Macaca mulatta: one gene and its partners. The protein of the gene in region 5 interacts with the protein of the main gene of each other region in a biochemical or structural test. Links are inferred from orthologs where the notes say so. Each region holds a gene or a part of one and is shown on either strand. Other genes may lie near its edges.

Region 1 (3,599 bases), on a different chromosome or scaffold from region 5:
GTTGTGAGCTCTGACCCCTGACTTTGTTGTCATTTCAACACGCTGTAGGCCAAAAGGGACATTTCTCCTCCTGATCAATTCAGACCAAAACTAAGTTCACAGACTTGAAGAATCTTGGTTATACTGTGCGGTGGGAAGGAAAGAATGGAAGCTTCCTCAGCAGGTTCCAGACTCCCAACTTGGAGCCACCTCTGGACTCATCCCGATCGTCTGAATCCTAAAGTTGTCTGAATCCCAGTCGATTTAAGATCGCAGGTTTCATTCTCCCCCCACAGAATGCTGAGAGCCGCCCAGCCCATCTGAACCGTCACTGGCTGTGACAATTCCAGACGCTCCAGTCTGGAGGTGCACAGGAGTGGCTGTCGGGTTGAAAAAGGAGGAATTAAAGTCCCCCGCGCCCCTCCTCTCGCCGACTCCTTAGGGTATTCACTGCGCATTAAATTGGGATCGTCGCAGAAAACTGTAACCCCATCAGGAAAATAATATTCACAAAGAAAGCAGACAAGAAGTTTCCCTTTAGAAAGCCCCTTGTGAGGGTCTTTTGGGTGTGGGTGCTGGGCAGCGAGAATGCCTCCATCCACGCCCCTCGCGAGCTCAGGACCGACCCATCCAGCCCCCTATCACGCCTACGTCAGGGTTTCTAGCCAGGCGCTGGGGCCGCGTTAGGGTCAGGCTAAATGCCTACAGGTGCCAAGTCAGACCTGAAACGAGGCAAGTTAGGTGTAATCTTGCTCTTCCGTAAGAGTTTGAATCCACCCACCTCCCCCAAACAAAACAACAGCCTCGGAATATTTTTGAATAATGCAGCCGAATTCAGTATCAGCTTCATCCAAAACGGCAAACAAGCCTTCTTCCCTCGCCAAATCGGAACTCGAGCTGAATTCAGGAAAAGGGGAAGGAGAACAACCTTCCCTCGCGCTCCTCGCCTCCGCGGGGGTCCCCTGAGACCCCCAAAGCCCGGGACCTCCGCTGCGGGGCGCCTTCTCGCGTCGCCCCGCGCCGCGCTCCGGGTCTCCCAAACCTCGCGCCCCCTTGCTGCCGGCGCCGCTAGGGTTAAAAGTTACCTCTCGGTTTCTTCTGCCTGCAGCCCCCCCCACCCCCGGGGGCCGGATGATGTAACCCCCCTCCCCGCCCCCCTCCACCATGTGACACTTTAATTAATAATAGCGCCGTCAGCACAACAAACGCACAACACAAGGAGAAACTTGGTGTCCAGGGGAGGCCCCCGGCGGCTGGAGCGCGGCGGCAGCGGGCGCAGAGGCCGGAGGGAGAGGAGGCGAGGGGCGGCCCGAGCGCGGGGCGGGAGCGAGGCCAGCGGTCATGTGCCCGTGCCCCCTGCACCGCGGCCGCGGCCCCCCGGCCGTGTGCGCCTGCAGCGCGGGTCGCTTGGGGCTGCGCTCGTCCGCCGCGCAGCTCACCGCCGCCCGGCTCAAGGCGCTTGGCGACGAGCTGCACCAGCGCACCATGTGGCGGCGCCGCGCGCGGAGCCGGAGGGCGCCGGCGTCCGGCGCGCTCCCCACCTACTGGCCCTGGCTGTGCGCGGCCGCGCAGGTGGCGGCGCTGGCGGCCTGGCTGCTCGGCAGGCGGAACTTGTAGGAACGCGGGGCTTCTTGGTGGGGCCGGAGCCGAGACCCAGCCGGAGCAAGCAACAGGTACGCGAGCGAGCGACCGAGAGCCAGGGCGCGGCAGCTGGGCACTGGCCCGGGAGCGGGAGAGTGGCAAGTTTGGCTTTTTTCTCTTCCCTTCTCCTTCTTCCTCCGTTCTTTTCTCTTGCAAGCATCTCCGGCCCCCCTCTCCTACCCAGTCCCCAGTCTTTCCTTCCAAGTGTCAGGTCCACCATTTCTGCCCCTATCTCTCCGAGTCCTTAAGCGCATCTTGCTACTCACTTATAGCTCGGTGGCTTGAGGAGGACTTCAACCTCCATAATCCCCACCAGCCCCACAAATAAACACACAATGCAAATAAAAAGTGTGCCTGCGATGAGAATATAGTTGTAAGCCACGCCAAATACTTAAAGTCTATCGCAGTTCCAAGAAAGGTCCTCGGTCCCCTTCCAAGCCTCTTGCTGTTCCTGAGTCGCCACCGTCTCCATCACCTTTGCTCCCAACCTCTTCTCCCTAAGTGTCACTTCTCCAATCTCTGATCCCCATTCTCTGGCACCGCAAGCGCATCTCGAGACTTCCTCCCCTTCCAGGTTTCTGGCTGGCCCAATCTTTCTTCCCAAGCTCCGCGCATTTGCAGTTTTCTTCTGCCCTGCCAACGTCGCTCCTTCTCCAGTGAGGTGTCCTGTTTAAGGAGTTTGGCTTCCTTCTCTCCAGACGGTTGTAGCTGCGATGGGAAGGAGACGCCTTCGGAGTGGGCTGGAATAGAAGGCTTTCAGGCAAACTCCAATGGGAAGCCTTAAGGAAGGAACATTTATTGAGCTCCTTCGGGGTGCTGGGCACTGTTTAGGGGGGTAATGCTTTGAGAACTTAGGACGGGAAGTGGGTATTGAGCGCCTAGTGTGGTCGGTATCAGTGGGAGGAAGATACTAGGTTCTTGGGGTGGGGGAATTATTGTGCCCTAGCTGTGCGCCTGGCACTGTGCTAGGCGCTTTGAGGAAGCGCACAGTGTAAGCATCGTCTTACTACTCTGGATCCTGGAGTAGCGAGGAGCGCTGCAGAAAATGAGGGAGAATCAGGCTGAGCCCACCATAGATGAGTCTAGGGCCGGAAGGTGAATATCAAAGGTGACATAGCCAGCCGCCATTGGGTCCCCGCCGCCGAGCCCCGCCGCGCGCCGCAGACACCCTGGGAAGTTGGAGCGGCGCCCGAAGGCGAGGCCCGAGCGTCTGCGCCCGCGGGGAAAGGCGGCAGCCGGAGCGTGGGGGGTGGCAGCGCCCAGGGAGCTGCGGGGGTGCGCGGGGTGTGAGCCGGGACCGCAGGCGACAGATGTCGCGTGGGCCCGCGCAGCCCGGGCGCTGGCAAAGAGAAGTGCGCACTTCGGGGCGCTCTCCGCTCGGCTCCCGGGCGCCGGGGGTCCCATCCACTTCTCCCCGCCTTCTCCCTTTCCTGTTGGAGAGGCTGGGAGCTCCCGCGACTGAAAGGGGTCAGGCTGAGGCTGCCCAGTTCCAGGGACGGGAAAAACATTTTAGATCTATCGCGGGGAGCAGAAAAAGGAAGTTGAGCGACAGACGCGAAGTCCAAAGCGTGGAATTTGGGAAGAGGCAGAAGAAAAAGTGGGTGAAGAGGGAGAGAAAAAACAGGCGACGAGATGGGGAGGGACAAGAAGTTTGGGGAGGATAGAGAAAAAGAGAAACTGCCTGGAAAACAAGTTGCAAGACAATTGAAAAGTGAATGAGAAGGAAAGAGAGGAAGGGAGTAAAATCAAATAGCACTGTGGAGAGGGCTGGGACACGTCTTTCTCTGGTTCTGTTGTCCAGGAGACTGGATAAGCGCTCCCCTCCTGGGACCAGGCGTGCGGGATGTCGGGTGCACCCTCCCGGGAGGCGGAGGATTCGGGCCGGAGCCTGACTGTGTTCCCGTTTACCGGTGTGTTAAGTGTCAGGGATGGGACCGCTCCCGGGGCCTGGAAGGGGAGGCTGCGGGAGGGGCGGGCAG
Region 2 (4,040 bases), on a different chromosome or scaffold from region 5:
TGCCTCCGAGGGGGTGCGGGCAGCTGCGCCGCGGGTGTCACGCGGGATGGGTTTGCAGGGTTCCAGGCGTCAGCTCCTCACACGGGAGGCGGCGCCGACCGAGCCGCGAGGAGAACATAGTCCAAGGTGAAGCCCACGCCACAGGACGCGTCGGTTCTGCACCCGCCGGGCAGGGGAGAGCCGCCTCTGGTGAGCAGAACCCCGGAGAAGGGACGACGCGGGTGCACCGCGCGGCCTGGGGACCCCAAGTCAGACGACCCCGCTGTGCAAGAACATTTTCCACACACCCCCGCCCGGGGGCGCTCGGCAGCCGCACGCGGCCCTCGGAGCGCAGCCCCCACACGCCTTTACTTCCGGAAGGCGGGGACCGCCACAGCGAGGAGCTAGACCAGCCGAGGCAACAGAGCGAAACCCCGTTCCTACCCAAAACCGAAAAGCGGAGCGCGGAGGCGCGCGCCTGCGGTCCCAGCTACCCGGGAGGCAGAGGAGGGAGGATCGCCTGAGCCCGGAAGGCGGAGGCTGCAGTGAGCCGAGACTACCACAGCACTCCAGTCTGGGTGACAGAGCGAGACCCTGTCTCTAAAAGGAAAAAAGAGCTAGGAAAAAGCGGACTGCCCCTTAACTTCGGAGAAGTAAATGAGGAACTATAACCAGTGTCTACTGTTTAGGCATCAAACAAAAGCTGACAGGAATCCCGCCACCGACCCGGCCGTCCCCTGGCCAATCCCGCGCCGTTCCTCAAACTAGACCCGCTCCGACGTCGCCCTGGCGTTTCCCACGCCGATCCTCAAACGAGGCCCGCCCCCGATGCACAAGCTCCGCCCCTTAAACGCACCGCCCTTGCTGCACCGTCCTGACCCTCGGCTTCACCCGCTGGCTCTTCCCGCGCAGCCGAATGCCGCCCCTGACCTGGTTCCCAGCCTACCTCGCTTCGCACTGCATAGGAACCCCGCCCCTAGACTGTCCTCCCGCCTATCCTGAGCCGCGTGCGCACAAATCCCTCCCACAGACCCGCCCACCCTGATCCTCAACCTGGCCCCTGGCCTTTCCCGCGCGGTCGAATCCAGTACACCGGCATATGAGTCCCACCCCCGATCTCGTCCTCCGCCTATCCCGCGCCGCTCCGCGCAGGAGCCCCGCCCCCCACTTCACCCGCAGCCTATCACGCGCCGCGTCGCTTCCTCTGCCTCAAACCCGCTCACGCCCGCGGATGGGCGCGCGGCTGTGACGTCACTGCGTCGTTGGTAAGGGGCTGGCGGCCGGGGGGCTGCGTAGCTCCCGGCCCCGAGGCAATGCCCAAGCGGGGCTGCCCTTTCGCGGACGCGGCCCCGCTACAGCTCAAGGTCCGCGTGGGCCAGAGGGAGGTGAGCCGCGGCGTGTGTGCCGAGCGCTACTCGCAGGAGGTCTTCGGTGAGTGCCGGAAGGGCTGCCGAGGGTCCACTGCGTCGGGGCCTGGAACGGGCCGGGCCTCAGTGTCTCCTCTGAGGCCTGAGCGGGGGGCTCGAGGGCCCTGCTTTCTGGCCGCGGTTACACAAGCTGGCCACGCCCAGGGCTGGAGTCAGTGAGGGGGATGTGAGGACCCCAGCGTTCACCCACCTTGTCCAACAACCTGAAAGAAGAGGGTCGCTGCCCTTAGTCCCCGTGCCCTCTTCCACGATCCCAGTTAGTCGCCGCCCCTCAGTGAGCGGCAGCTGCCTGGTGCTTCTTCAGGACTGTCCCGTGCAGGATGCCCTGGGAGAGGTCGGGGAGCGGGGCGTCCTGCATGGAGTTAACCTGAAGAGTGCCCCTCCTGACCCAAGAGGTATTCATGGAGCGCGCCGCCCCTGCCAGGCACTGCGGCTGTCCTGGGAGACCAAAGGCGGGCAAGACAGATGTGTCCCGTCTCCCGGGAGCTCCCCAACCTAGTTGGGGAGACCAGCAGGAGAAGGAATCGCCACAGGTGATCCGGGCAGGCACAGGTTTGTGCAGTCGCACCTGCAGGGACGGCATGGAAGGCTTCTCGGAAGAACAGAGTCTGAGCCGAATCCTGTGGGGAGAGTGCGAGTTAGCCAGGCAGAGGCAGGGACGGAAGAGGCCGAGGCAGAAGCCAGGCAGCAGGAGAGCGAAGTAGGACTCCGTGTGGCTGGAATGTCCAGTTCTGGGTGGGATGTGAGGGCAGTGAGCTCCCAGGCCTTCTCTGGCTTTCTCCCTTGGATTTCAGGCGTGTTGGTCTTATTGATCATCACTCTGACTGGGATGATTAATACCCTGGGGCAGGTGCAAAGTGGAGCTTACCTTGCCTAGTGGTTGGGGCACAAGGTCTGCACCTGTAGAGCCGTTAGAGGATGACCCGGGGGGTGTGATTTGTCTGGTGCCGCTTGTGCCTTGGGGATGAAGGAAAGACGCTTCCTCCCGAGGTTCCTGTGTGCCGTGTCTCCAGTGTGCTAGGGCTGTGCAAGCGAGTGCTATCCCGGGCCATGCGGAGTTAAGAGGAATGATGCCATGGGAACTGTGGCTGGACTGCAGGCGCCTGCCCTCTCAGGACAGTTGAAAAATTCAAACACTGTGCAGGCAAGAAAGGAAGATGGAAACCGGGCCTGGCTCAGTCTGGCTCTTTACTCTTTACAAAGTAGGTAAATGCAGGACACCTACTTTGAACTGTGTGACAGTTTCCAAATTCCAGGCCACAGCTGTCACCCTGATCTCTTAACCTCGAATTGTCCACAAGGCCTTAAGGACAAGGATTAGCCTCACCACATGTCTGTCCCATTCCTTTCCCATTATAGATGGGGGAAGGTATGGGGGGCCAGGAGGAAGAGGTGCAGGGTGTTGTGGGCTGGCATCAGCTACTCCATTTGAGTTACCCACTATTATTGCTGCCCATTTCATGTAAAGCCACATAGAGTTTCTGGGATCTCTGCCTTTACTGTGTTATAATGAGGTGGGAAAAAAAAAGCAAAAACAAAGCATTTCTGGGTCTGGTCCTGGGCATCTGATTTTTGGAACCTCCCCCAGTGACTGAACTGTGGCCTGATGGAAAATCACTGCTCCCAGGGATGGGTGGGTATTCTAGAACGAGATCTGGAAGGTTCTGGGATGCTTGTCTTGCCAGCAACTCTGTAGCAGGCGAAGGGGGTGTGCGCTGGCCAGAGGCTGCAGGCCCAGCTCCAAGCTTCTGGCTGCTTCCTTGGCAGTGACAAGCTTTGTGAATTAGTGCTCCACAGTGCAGAGCTCCCTCTGTGCATTCCACAGAGCCTGCTTTCCAGGTGAGGAGTGCTGGGGAAGCAGAAAAGGGAGAAAGGGGAACAAGCTCAGTGAGGCAAGGCCGGCCGTGAGTTGCCGAAAGTGAGCAGAGTGATAGGAGAGGGAACCCTTGCATCAGGCACAGGTGGGGCTGCAGGGCCTGAGCCTTCCTGGAGGAGATGACAACTAAGCCAGGTAAGGAAGGGAGGCACGAGCATTCTCAGAGGCAGAGCAGGACCCAGCTCGCCAGGGCACAACACAGGCTGGGGTCACTGGGTGACAGAGGGCACACAGGAGGACGATGGGGTTCATGTGAGGCTGGAAAGACTAAGTGGCCATGCAGGGGCTTCGTTGGTACACAGTGAAGGATGTGAGAATGATTTGTCTTCCCCCAGAGAAGACCAAGCGACTCCTCTTCCTCGGGGCCCAGGCCTACCTGGACCATGTGTGGGATGAAGGCTGTGCCGTCGTTCACCTGCCAGAGTCCCCAAAGCCTGGCCCTACAGGGGCGCCGAGGGCTGCACGTGGGCAGATGCTGATTGGACCAGACGGCCGCCTGATCAGGAGCCTTGGGCAGGCCTCCGAAGCTGGTGAGTGGCACCAGCAGCCCTTCGTGGCTGTGGCACTGAGAGCAGGTGGTGGCACAGGCACTTTTCTTCATTTGCAAGCTCAGGCTTTTCCTCCCTGGGGAAGCAGGAGTCTGACCTAGAGCTTGGCCTTCTGGCTCAGAAGGCTCCTGTTATCAGGAGGTCTCACATTCAAGACTGGAAGTGATTAAATAGTTTCTAACTACTGGGCCAGAAAAGCAGCAGAGACTG
Region 3 (4,290 bases), on a different chromosome or scaffold from region 5:
CATAGAATCCGTCCTACACTCCCTAGGATCTTGAAGGAGGCTCTTCTTTACATTCCCAGTCACCCCTCCCCCAGCTCCTACACAGGGCCTAGGCACCCTGTCTGCACCCCACTTCCACTCTGTATCAGCTGCCATGTTCCTCAGCACCCTATCCCACTGAAACAACTTTTCTAACTCAAGTCGCCACGTTCACATTTAATCTGCCGTCTCTTTCCAGCAGCCAGTCCTGATTGCCTCCTCCGCAGCCCCAGTTGCCTACTGCTTTAGCTAGTGTCGCTGCTGGCTGTGAGGAGTGTCCTGATTCTGTAACCCGGCACCTCCTCCACAGGGCCCTAGACGCCTGAAGCATTCGAGGACGTTTGTTGATCAAAGGCGAAGGGTGTGCAGAAGCTTCGTCCATCTACGAATTAATTCTCGAAACCCGCTTCAAGTGGGCCTCGCGCGGAACACAGGGAACACTCAGTGGTGAACGAGACCACTCGCTTAGGCCTAGCAAGGAGAAGGTGACCGTTCACTCAACACATACTAACTGGGTCCCACAGGAGCACAGGCCCCGGCTGGTCGCGTGTTCCCCGCGGTGCCCTCAGCCGGCCGGCCGGCCAGAACCGGCGTGATTTCCTCGCGCCGAGAGACCCAGCAGGAGCCTCGCAAAACCCAATTCACGTTTTATTTTATTATTTTGCCTCTCGAATGCATGGAAATTGGCTGTTAGTAGCTTTGCTACAGGAGAAAATCGCTAATCTGCGGTGCAAAATCGGCACACAGGGGTTTTCTCCGCGATTGTCTAGACGCCATGCGGGCGGGTCGGAGGCGCCAGACACATTGTATCCGGAGCGCGGAGCTCTGGAGCAACAGTCGCCGCTGCTACTCAGTATCTGCGCCGCTCCCAGCGCCCAGTGTCCGCGCTGGGCCTGAGACTGACCTCGGGGGATGGGGCCCACCCGGGCTTTGATGGGGGGCCGGGGGTCACTTCGTCCACCCAGGCAAGGCTCGAGTCCAGCGCCGGCCACATCAACTCCCGGGGGATCTAGCAGCGCGGAGGCCGACCAGGAGGCCCAGAAGCCCCGCGCGTCTTCCATTAGCGCAGGGACCTCGGGGCCACCGCTCAGAGAATCAGAAGGCCTCCTCCCCCTTCCCGAGCGCTGCCACTGGGGCCGAGGTTTCCAGCAAGAACCCGCGTGTCCCTGCGCACGCACACACGGTGCACACGTCAATACCGCGCCTCCCCGTGCCCGGGCTCACGCAGGTCCTCCCGCGCGTCCGCAACGCGCCCGCAGGCTACCGTGTCTGCTGCCGGGGCCGCGGGGCCCGGAAGGGTAAGAACGCGACTCGCGAGCTGGACGAGGACCCCGGCCCGGCCCGGACGCTTTCCCGGGCGGGGCCTGGGGGCGGAGCGCGCCGGACCCGGCGCGCGAGAGGGGAGGCGGGTCCGCGCCGCCGCCGTCCGCGCCGCCCCGCCCTTGGCCCCGCCGCTTGCTCGGCTCCGCTCCCTGCGTCCGCGCCGCAGCCCCCGCCGTAGCCGCCTCCGAGCCCGCCGCCACCGCCTCTGAGGTAGGCGCAGCGGAAAAGGACCCTGGCTCCCTTGCGCCCTGGACGGCGGGGGCCGGGCCCCTGGGGAACTGAGAGGGAGGCGCTGAGGGAGGAGCGGGCGAGGGGCCTCGGGAGTCCGGCCCCGGGGAGGGAGCCCGAGCGGCTGGCGCGGGCCTGGCTGGTTAGCTGGCGGGCAGAGAAGGCCGCGCAGGCGGGCGCCGAACGGGTCCGGGCTGGGGACCGCGAGGCCGGGGGTCCGGAGACGCTTGCGGCTGGCGGCGAGAGGCGTCCCGAGCTTGCGGGCGGAAGGGCAAGGGCGGCCGCGTGGAGGCCCGGCGGGCCGCGCGTCTAGGTGACCTTCCCCGGCGGCGCCCTCTGGCCCTGGATCCCACCAGCGTGGATCCGGCGGGGACCCGTTCGCCGCCCACGCTCGCTGGACCAGGCCAGCAGGCTGGTGCCGGCCACGCTGCCGCCGCGGGGATGAGCTCACGTGACGACCGTGGCCCCGCGTCCCCAGGCCCACGCGTCGTGGCCGGCCCACGCCCGCAGAAGCTGGCGCCCGGCACCGCCCGCCTGTGCCAGAGCCTTCTAGGGCGGAACCCGCCGGCCGAGAGTCGACTTAGGCCGTAGAGGCCGGAGCTCGGGCCTGGGCTGGAGGTTTGGCCTAGGAAAAGGAGGCCCCACGGGGAAGGATGTGGCCTTCTTGGCCTTAGGAGTGATTCCTGGTTCGGTCGTTCATTCATTTGCCAAACGCGGAGGTGCATTTGGGAGCCTGACGTTGGATCAGAGGCCGGCAGTCCTAGTCATTTGTACAAGGTCACACAGCTGGGAAGATCGCAGACCTTCGTTTTCTCATCTGTAGGATGGGAGCAATTATACCTCTCCTTCGTTGAGTTTTGGGGAAGAATAAAATGAATTAATTAACATGAAACCTTTAGAACAGTGCCGGTATGGAGAAGGGCTAAGTAGAAACCCTGACACCCTTGGGGCTTTTTGGGTGAATCCAGCCCATCCCCTGCAGACCATTTTGCTACACGTGGCGTTGTGGAAAGGGTTCAATAAATGTAGCTCCTGTTTTTAAGCATTTTTGCACTATTATTGACAAGCATTTGTATACCAGGTATTGAGTAACTTTCACGTTAATTTATGAAAAGTGTTGTAAGTTTACAGATGGACATTGTCAAGCTCGAGCAGTAAGTTTGCATGTGGAGACCTTGATTGCAGGAGCAGACCCTGTTTTAGAGGCCTGATCGGTCCGGGGTCCCTGTCCCCTTGACTAGCCTCTCCTCTCCTGGGGAGATAAGGGAAAGGGCTCCTCTGTTGCCTAAACTTCTCCACTGAGGCAGGGGAAGACCAGGGCAGACTACCGAGGGCCTGCCTGCATTCTGCCCACCCCAGCTCTGGACCGACTCAGCTCTTAAGGGTCAGACTGAGGCACTGAGGCCCTGTGCTACTTTGTCTTCAGTGCCTGGCGTGATGCTGTTTGGCACACAGTAGGTGCTTGAGAAGGGTCTGTGGGGGTAAATGCACTCTTGTATCAGAATCCACCCACCTTTATTGACAGAGTTTTACTATTTCAGTACATGGTACATAGTGGGTGCTTATTAGGTATTTGTGGAATTTTTGAATGGGCATGTGAAGGGCTGCAGGCCCAGACCATAGTCCTTTGATCCTAAACGTTTTTTCTTTTTCTTTTTTTTGAGACAGGGTCTTGCTCTGTTGCCAGAGTGCAGTGGCACCATATTGGCTCATGGCAGCTTCTATCTCCTGGGCTCAATCAATCCTCCCACCACAGCCTCCCAGAGTATCTGGGATCCCAGGCACACACTACCACGCCTGTCTAATTTTTGTATTTTTAGTAGAGTGGGGTTTCACCATGTTGGCCAGGCTGATCTCAAACTCCTGGCCTCAAGCAATCCACCCACCTCAGCCTCCCAAAGTGCTGGGATTACAGGTGTGAGCCACCATGCCCGGTCCTGGACATCGTTTTGAGGGACACACACATCTCACTTGTGGAAAACAGCCTCACCTAGAAGAGAGTCACAGATATTTAAAGAACTGTAACAGACTGTATAGTCTCTTGAAATAAGTGCTTTAAACACATTGTCTTCATTCTCTGGTTTTCCAAGTCCCGAGGGAAACTTGTTGAACTGGTGTTTCTGGGCTTGCAGGGCGGGTGACGTGGGTGATTGGGATTCTACAGAAGGTGTTGGGTCTGTTACCCCTTCCCTCGTGGTGGGTGGATGGACAGCTTATGCTGGGGTTGTCCAGAGTAGGGTGCCTGCCTCTGGGTAGTGGGGACTACTCATTGTTGATGATTTAGTTTTATTTCTGCTATTCTAGAGTGGGGCTGTAGGCAGGGGTTATTTGTAGCATAGAAAGTGGGAGACCATACAGGGATGAAGTGCCTGTGGGCCCCTGGCCTTGCTGAACACTAGGCGAGTGTGGACAGTGAACATGTTGGGGTGGTGAAGGGCCTCCACCCTCCACCCTTACCAGGAAGATGCTCCTGAAGCACTGAAGTCCACTTCGCCCTGATGGAATTTCCCATGGTGCAGTGTCTTCAGTGGTAGTGACAGAGAGGCGCATGTATGGCTGAGGACCAGCCCAAGCCTGGAGGCAGCACCTCCCAGTGCTCCAAGATTCTGTAGTCTGCGGCTTTGGGTTTTCCATGGACTCCTGTGGTAGCCACTGAGAAAAGGTGACCAGTGGGCTTCTCAGCTGGGTCTGGGCACATTTCTCCATTTTACCGCGTACTCA
Region 4 (3,095 bases), about 76 Mb from region 5:
TTAGTCCCCCCATTCTGAGAGTGGTGGTGCCAACAAGGCTGGTTTCAGGATTGGGAACCAGGACACAGGTCTTAGAGCCCCCTCACCTCCCACAAAGGAAGGTAAGCTGCAACCCCTGTGGGAAGCCAGCCTCAGCCATCCAGGGCGCTCAGCACTCCCCAGACCTGCCTGTTCCCCTTGTCCACCGTTTCCACCAAAGCCCACAGGTGGGCCTGCCCCAGGATTCTTCAGGGAAGTTCAGAGACCGAGTTCTGGATGTTCAGGCATCCCTGGGTGCACGGGCAGGCTGCCTCAGGAGACTCACCTGCTGCTGACGCTAGTGGGCAGTCACGGGCACAAGAAGGCCTGGGACTCGCCACGCAGGCAGTGCTGCTCCCTGGTGTCTCTGGCACCTCTGGGGCCACCCACGGATGGGACCTCGCGGGTATCTCTGAATCCAAGTGGGAGCTGGAGGAGGGATGCAGGGAGGCCCGCTCAATGCCTGCCCCGAATCTGACACCATCTTTTATCCTCTGGGCCACTCCCAGCCACACACAATCCATTGGCTGGGTGGGTCCAGGTACATGTGGCTTCCACAGCACAGCCACACCCCGACTCCTACGTGTGCTCCCTGCAGTGACATGTTGGCCCTGCGGCTGGCCTGCATCGGGGACGAGATGGATGTGAGCCTCAGGGCCCCGCGCCTGGCCCAGCTCTCTGAGGTGGCCATGCACAGGTAACCGGCCTGTGCCCTGCCCAGGCCTCTATACCTGGGGAGGGGCCCTGGGCGGTGGGTAAAGGCCCTGAGTGCAGCATAGGGCTGGGCAATGTGGGGAAGCCCTGTGGGGAATGTATCCTGACACTCTGGGGCTGTACCGAAACCCTTTGCTGCTTCCCGCACCTCCCTGGGAGCCCCCAGCTCCTGGCACTGGCCCCCTGCCACCTGTCCCTGGCATTCCTGGGCAACAGACAAAGCAGAGCCCAGGGCCCTTCTCTCGCCATCCTCATCAAGCCCAGATGGTACATTTCCACCATGGTCTTTAAAGGAGGTGCAACGTAAGCTCGGATCCTAGACCCTGAGGGCTGGGCCTCTCAGCTAGTCTCCGGTGGGGGAACAGAGTGGGCAGTGGCTTGCCAGGGCCCTGTAGAATGGGGGTTTATTTTCTATGTGGCCAGCTCCGGAAGACAGGGACACTGGCAGGCGGCTGGCTGGGGAAGGAAGCAGGAAATCAGAATGAATTTCACCACAAACAGGCCCCTGCAGGTGAAGGTGCCCATGGAAAGGGCCCCGCGTGGCTGTGGGGTGGGAGGGCACAGGCCCCTGCTCCCCACAGCTGTGATGGTGTCATCTAAGTACAGGCTGTCCCTACCTGTTCCTGCAGTAATGGCTTTGTCCCCCCATCCTCTTTGTCTGTAGCCTGGGTCTGGCTTTCATCTACGACCAGATGGACGACATCAGGGATGTTCTTAGAAGTTTCATGGATGGTTTCACCACCCTTAGGGAGAACATAATGAGGTTCTGGAGATCCCCGAATCCCAGGTCCTGGGTAAGAGCCTTAGAGATTCCTGACCCTGATTTGCTCTGCGGCCAGTGGGGGCTGTCAGAGCTGCTCCTCAGGGCGCCACAGTCCCCATCACTCCCTGTCATCTGCTGTGTCATCATTGTCCACATCCGCCTGGTCCCATAGGCTTCTGAGTTTGGGATTCCTGGTTATGAGTGCACAAACCAGTGCGTGGTCCTGGGTCTCCCTCTGGCCCGAGAGCCTTCACCTGGCAGACAGGATTCTCGTCTCCTCGCCAGGGCAGAGGCCTCCCTGAGCAGCCGTCCTGGCAGCCTGGTGCCACTCTGCACTGCCCACCACCAGGGCAGCTAACCGCCCTGACCTGTGTCCACCCTTTGCCTGTGTCCCACAGACTGGCAGCCGCTGGCCTCTTTGGCCATGTCCTCAGGGCCACTTTCCCCCTCTCCTGAACTCCTTCCTTCTCTGGTTCCCTCGAGCTGCTTCCCAGTCCCCACCTCCCTGGGCTTCCCCTTGGAACTCTGCTGTCACCCCGTCTGGCCTCATTGCTGGGGCCTGCTCCGAGCCTGACTCCTCTGTTTTACTCCCGCAGGTGTCCCGTGAACAGGTGCTGCTGGTGCTGCTGCTGCTGCTGGCACTGCTGCTGGCGCTGCTCAGCGGGGGCCTGCACCTGCTGCTCAAGTGAGGCCCCAGCGGCTCAGGGCAGGGCTGGCCCCACCCCTGTGACCACTGCCCTGGAGGTGGCGGCCTGCTGCTGTTGTCTTTTTAACTGTTTTCTCATTATGCCTTTTTATATTTAAACTCTGAGATAGTGCTGGAACACTGCTGAGGTTTTATACTCAGGTTTTTTGTGTTTTTTTAAATTCCAGTTTTCGTTTTTTCTAAGAGATGAATTCCTATGGCTCCGAACTTGTTGCCGGTTAACTGTGGCTTGTGCCCAGGAAGAGCCATTCACTCCTGCCCCCGCCCACACGGCAGTTAGCAGGGGGAGTGCTGGCCACACCCCTGTGTGATGTGTGATGCCCTTGGCAAAGAATCTACCGGAATAGATTCCAAGGAGCAGGAGTGCTCAATAAAATGTTGGTTTCCAACAGACTCTGGTCCTCTCTGGGAGTTGGCAGTACCTGCACAGGCTTCCTCTTGCCCCAGGGAGGCGCACCGTGTTGGTGGGGAGGGCAGGGCCTGTGTGTTCCTAATCAGATCCTTCCCTGCAGCCGGGGACCACAAATGCCGTCTTGGTTTGGCCCAACGGTTTGCCTTCTCCCTTGTCCTGGTCTGTGGCGTAAAATCCACTGTTGGGGGTTATTTCCTTTGGGCTTTCAGTTCCTGTTTAGGGGATGCCTGTCTCTCCCTGCACAGACTTCCAGCCAGAAGGACGCAGCCGTGGCTGTTCTACCAGAACAGAGCCCCTCACTCTCTGGCACACAGTAGGCACTCAATACATATGTCTTGGGTATGTCAACAAATGTGGGACTCTGTTTCCCAGCTGTCAAGTGAGGGGGTGAACAAAACTGCCAAGGCCAATTGGGTTCTACAACCTTTCAGATTTGTGACCAAGGAGCCCTGGGGGGCAGGCTGGCGGTGGAGGAGGGGCTC
Region 5 (4,144 bases):
TGCTTCTTCTATATATAAACTGACGGACGGATGAAATAGGCTGATTGACTGATGACTGACTGACTGACTGAATTAATGAATACATGGAAATGTGATTATAAATGTTGATTTTTTGCGCCTTCCGATTCCCCGGATCTACCGCGAGGGGGCGATCTCTCCCCGGTCCTGATGCCAGTCACTCAAGGCGCGCACTCCCTTTGCGTCTCGGGCTCGCGCGCGTTGCCGCAGCACCGGAAGTGACTGAGCTTGCAAGTTCCCCCGTCTCTTCAGGGGAAACTGAGGCCGGCTTGTTCGGGAGAGACGGCACGAGCAGTCAGCCAGGTAGGCCGGCAGCCAGGTAGGCCGGCCCGGGTCCGCGGCGCGGAACTCGGCCGCGAAGAGCTCTCGCGTCTGGAAGCTACCGGGCCGATGAAGGGGGATGTGGCCCCCCACGGCTCGCGGGGCTCACAGGTGAGAGCGCCGCCTCCCCTGTGCCTGACAGCCGCTGCGCCCAATAGGAGCCTTCGCCGTCCCGCTTCCGTGCCGGCTAGGCTCGCTGATTGGCGGCGCTGGGGAGGACCGCCGGGGGCGAGGCCCCTCCTCCTAGAAAGGTCTAGGGGGCGCCCCCGGGGGAGGGCGGTTGCTTAGCAACGGGGCGGTGGCTCGGCGGGTACCCGGCCTAGTGAGCGCGAGAAGCCGCGAGGCCGCAACCGGCCCACCCTGGGCTCCGGAGAGGTGCAGCCCCCGGCCCCGGAGCCCTCCCGGGGGCGCCAGGAAGCCACTTTGGGCCTGTCCCCAGGAAAACGTGGTCTCAGCTGTGGGGCCGTCGAGCAGGCCTCGACCCCTCTTCCTGACCTGAGGAGAGGCCCAGCGCCTCACCCTCACCCAGTCTTTGTGCAGGGCGCCGGCGGCCATTGTGTCCGGGCGGGGAATGGAGGACCCGGCAATTCCCCACCGCCACGTTCAGGGCCTTTGGGGAATTCAAAGAAAACCAGCGGCATTTGTAGGGGGTCTCCGGCCTTCAACCTCCCAGACAGGCCTGGGGGTGGCCTTCCCAAAGTCAGATCGCAGATCCGAGGCAGTTTCCCCCTCCCTGCGTCCCTCACCGAAACCTTGAACCCCATTGAGAAGTCCCTTCAGGGTTTCGGACGCCTCCACCTCACCCTGGGCTGGTACTTAAATAGAAAAAAGAAAGGAAAAAAAAAAAAACAACTAAATCCATACCAGCCACCTCCGGGAGAGTTCTCCTGGCTCCCAGTAGGAGGCGGAGAGCCAAGGGGCGTGCAAGAGCGAGGGGGCTGGGCTCCCGGGTGGCAGGAGGCCGCGGCTGCGGAGCGGCCGCCCTCGATCCGGGCGATGGAGGAGGAAGCAAGCGAGGGGGCTGGTTCCTGAGCTTCGCAATTCCTGTGTCGCCTTCTGGGCTCCCAGCCTGCCAGGTCGCATGATCCCTCCGGCCGGAGCTGGGTTTTTTGCCAGCCGCCGCGAGGCCGGCTGAGTTACCGGCATTCCCGCAGCCACCTCCTCTCCCGACCTGTGATACAAAAGATCTTCCGGGGGCTGCACCTGCCTGCCTTTGCCTAAGGCGGATTTGAATGTAGGTGGTGCGGGGGAGGGGGAGTGAGGGGGGGACTGCCCAAGGGGTGACTTTCCGAGGAAGGCATTTCGGAGAAGAGGGGGGTAGAAAAGGCTGGTGGGAGATTCAGAGTCCACTGGTGCTTTCGATTTGACTTAATTGAAGTATCTTGGAACCTAGATCCAGACCTTCGTAAGACCCACAAAGAAACCAGTTCTGGTACCTGGAGGGGGAATGGGATGTTTAGGGTAAGTGGCATGCATATTAATTTTTTTTTTTTCCTAAAGCTCTTTCTCTCCCTTCAGAATCTTATCTTGGCTTTGGATCTTAGAAGAGAATCACTAACCAGAGACCAGACTCAGTGAGTGAGCAGGTGTTTTGGACAATGGACTGGTTGAGCCCATCCCTATTATAAAAATGTCTCAGAGCAACCGGGAGCTGGTGGTTGACTTTCTCTCCTACAAGCTTTCCCAGAAAGGATACAGCTGGAGTCAATTTAGTGATGTGGAAGAGAACAGGACTGAGGCCCCAGAAGGGACTGAATCGGAGATGGAGACCCCCAGTGCCATCAATGGCAACCCATCCTGGCACCTGGTGGACAGCCCCGCGGTGAATGGAGCCACTGGCCACAGCAGCAGTTTGGATGCCCGGGAGGTGATCCCCATGGCAGCAGTAAAGCAAGCGCTGAGGGAGGCAGGCGACGAGTTTGAACTGCGGTACCGGCGGGCGTTCAGTGACCTGACATCCCAGCTCCACATCACCCCAGGGACAGCATATCAGAGCTTTGAACAGGTAGTGAATGAACTCTTCCGGGATGGGGTAAACTGGGGTCGCATTGTGGCCTTTTTCTCCTTCGGCGGGGCACTGTGCGTGGAAAGCGTAGACAAGGAGATGCAGGTATTGGTGAGTCGGATCGCAGCTTGGATGGCCACTTACCTGAATGACCACCTAGAGCCTTGGATCCAGGAGAACGGCGGCTGGGTAAGAACCAAGCCCCTTGTGTGTCCCTTTTCTTTGGCCTCTGGTCAGAGATCCCCAACTGCCCTTCTTCTGTATCTCTTTCTGTTAGGTTGGGTGATTGTTGGAGACATTGATAGTTGAGGAAACCTGATCTCATTTCACGACAAGAGGTTAACTCCCTGGAAATATAAATGACCCGGTGCTTCAGAGATCAGGCATCTTTTACCCTGGTCACCCCCATGACTCCACTATTCCATACTTGTGTTCCAGTTTCTTAGCAAAGAAAATTATAGCCTATGTGTTCATTAAGTCCCAAACCTGTGAGGGTAGGAAGTTAGTTTGGTGTTTCCCTTACCGTATACAATGGTTCACACACAAAAGGGTGATGAGTATCAGTGACCCACAGACCTCTCCATCTGTTCCCCCTAGGGGTCTCAGTCCTATCCTGGGCTTCTCTTCTCCAAATCAAGTTCCCTTGGCCGGGCGCGGTGGCTCAAGCCTGTAATCCCAGCACTTTGGGAGGCCGAGACGGGCGGATCACGAGGTCAGGAGATCGAGACCATCCTGGCTAACACGGTGAAACCTCGTCTCTACTAAAAAAAATACAAAAAATTAGCCGGGCGAGGTGGCGGGCGCCTGTAGTCCCAGCTACTTGGGAGGCTGAGGCAGGAGAATGGCGTAAACCCAGGAGGCGGAGCTTGCAGTGAGCTGAGATCCGGCCACTACGCTCCAGCCTGGGGGACAGAGCGAGACTCCGTCTCAAAAAAAAAAAAAAAAAAAAAAAAAAAGTTCCCTTTATTTCAAAGTTTCCGTGTAAGGCACTCTTCTCTCAGACTAGGGCATGGCCACAGGCAGGAGTTCCCACTGGGTTGAATGGCTGAGAATTGTCAGATTTTGGGGCAGTGTAGGCTGTGCAGATTGTGTTTGCACTGCGCCCCCTAAGTTCATTTCCCCCAAAGTGTGTGACTTTCTGCATGGTTGCCTTGTTTGTGGAGCACTTGCTGTGTCACACATTAAGCCCGGGAACTTTGCACCTCGTTGCCTGGGGTCGGTTGGGGAGCTCCAGCTGCTCTGCCTGTTACTTTCCGGCCAGAGCCCTGGGGCCTCTTCACCAAGCACTGTTTGCTGGCAAAGCAAGAACCCAGTCTTTGGGGCTCTGTGGGACATTCAGATTTAGTAACAGACTTCAGATGCAGGTATAAGTCCCTGTCTTAAAACTCTGTCATGTATCTAGCTCCGTCATATAGCTGTGTGACTTTGGACAGGCTGGGTTACTTTCTCAAGGCTTAGTTTCTTCCACTAAAAATGTGGCAAGCTCTCCTTGACTTACAGAGTATTGTAAATCTTGGCAATAATGTGAGCACAGTGACCAACACCAGCAAATTCCCTTTCCAGGGAGGGAGAGTTCTCCTGCTCATCACTGAGCCAGGATGAGGTGGTGGTGAAAGCTTCTTCACCAGTGGTCACTGTGGGCAAGTTTTGCTCTTCAGTGAACTCAGTCCTGGTTTCTTGCTTATTTCCTTACCTAGGGGAGGTGCAAGGTTTATGAGAGGTATTCTATCCCTTCAGAATATGCAGAAAAGCAACAAGCTGTGGAAAATAAGTCATCCATTGAAGGAGCTGAGGTGGAAG

Evidence for each region.
Region 1: the proteins of BCL2L1 (region 5) and HRK interact in a biophysical measurement, tested with the Homo sapiens proteins (3 studies listed by BioGRID and IntAct, with this or other methods). The link is inferred for Macaca mulatta from reciprocal best matches to the Homo sapiens genes BCL2L1 and HRK.
Region 2: the proteins of BCL2L1 (region 5) and SIVA1 form a complex in vitro, tested with the Homo sapiens proteins (2 studies listed by BioGRID and IntAct). The link is inferred for Macaca mulatta from reciprocal best matches to the Homo sapiens genes BCL2L1 and SIVA1.
Region 3: the proteins of BCL2L1 (region 5) and VDAC1 form a complex in vitro, tested with the Homo sapiens proteins (4 studies listed by BioGRID). The link is inferred for Macaca mulatta from reciprocal best matches to the Homo sapiens genes BCL2L1 and VDAC1.
Region 4: the proteins of BCL2L1 (region 5) and BIK interact in a test that uses a peptide from one of them, tested with the Homo sapiens proteins (3 studies listed by BioGRID and IntAct, with this or other methods). The link is inferred for Macaca mulatta from reciprocal best matches to the Homo sapiens genes BCL2L1 and BIK.

Annotation. Positions count from the first base shown.
Region 1 is NC_133416.1:124,145,111-124,148,709, reverse strand, and holds the start of HRK (activator of apoptosis harakiri), read left to right. Parts: upstream 1-1,235; 5' UTR 1,236-1,320; coding exon 1,321-1,596; 3' UTR 1,597-1,652; intron 1,653-3,599. UniProt on the Homo sapiens protein: Promotes apoptosis.
Region 2 is NC_133412.1:178,193,787-178,197,826, forward strand, and holds the start of SIVA1 (apoptosis regulatory protein Siva), read left to right. Parts: upstream 1-1,232; 5' UTR 1,233-1,292; coding exon 1,293-1,410; intron 1,411-3,617; coding exon of another isoform or gene 3,618-3,812; intron 3,813-4,040. UniProt on the Homo sapiens protein: Induces CD27-mediated apoptosis. Inhibits BCL2L1 isoform Bcl-x(L) anti-apoptotic activity. Inhibits activation of NF-kappa-B and promotes T-cell receptor-mediated apoptosis.
Region 3 is NC_133411.1:142,905,585-142,909,874, reverse strand, and holds the start of VDAC1 (non-selective voltage-gated ion channel VDAC1), read left to right. Parts: upstream 1-1,488; 5' UTR 1,489-1,551; intron 1,552-4,290. UniProt on the Homo sapiens protein: Non-selective voltage-gated ion channel that mediates the transport of anions and cations through the mitochondrion outer membrane and plasma membrane.
Region 4 is NC_133415.1:8,345,868-8,348,962, reverse strand, and holds the end of BIK (bcl-2-interacting killer), read left to right. Parts: intron 1-616; coding exon 617-715; intron 716-1,396; coding exon 1,397-1,526; intron 1,527-2,091; coding exon 2,092-2,184; 3' UTR 2,185-2,592; downstream 2,593-3,095.
Region 5 is NC_133415.1:84,545,288-84,549,431, reverse strand, and holds the start of BCL2L1 (bcl-2-like protein 1), read left to right. Parts: upstream 1-1,339; 5' UTR 1,340-1,573; exon of another isoform or gene 1,574-1,771; intron 1,772-1,839; exon of another isoform or gene 1,840-1,857; 5' UTR 1,858-1,969; coding exon 1,970-2,533; intron 2,534-4,144. UniProt on the Homo sapiens protein: Potent inhibitor of cell death. Inhibits activation of caspases. Appears to regulate cell death by blocking the voltage-dependent anion channel (VDAC) by binding to it and preventing the release of the caspase activator, CYC1, from the mitochondrial membrane.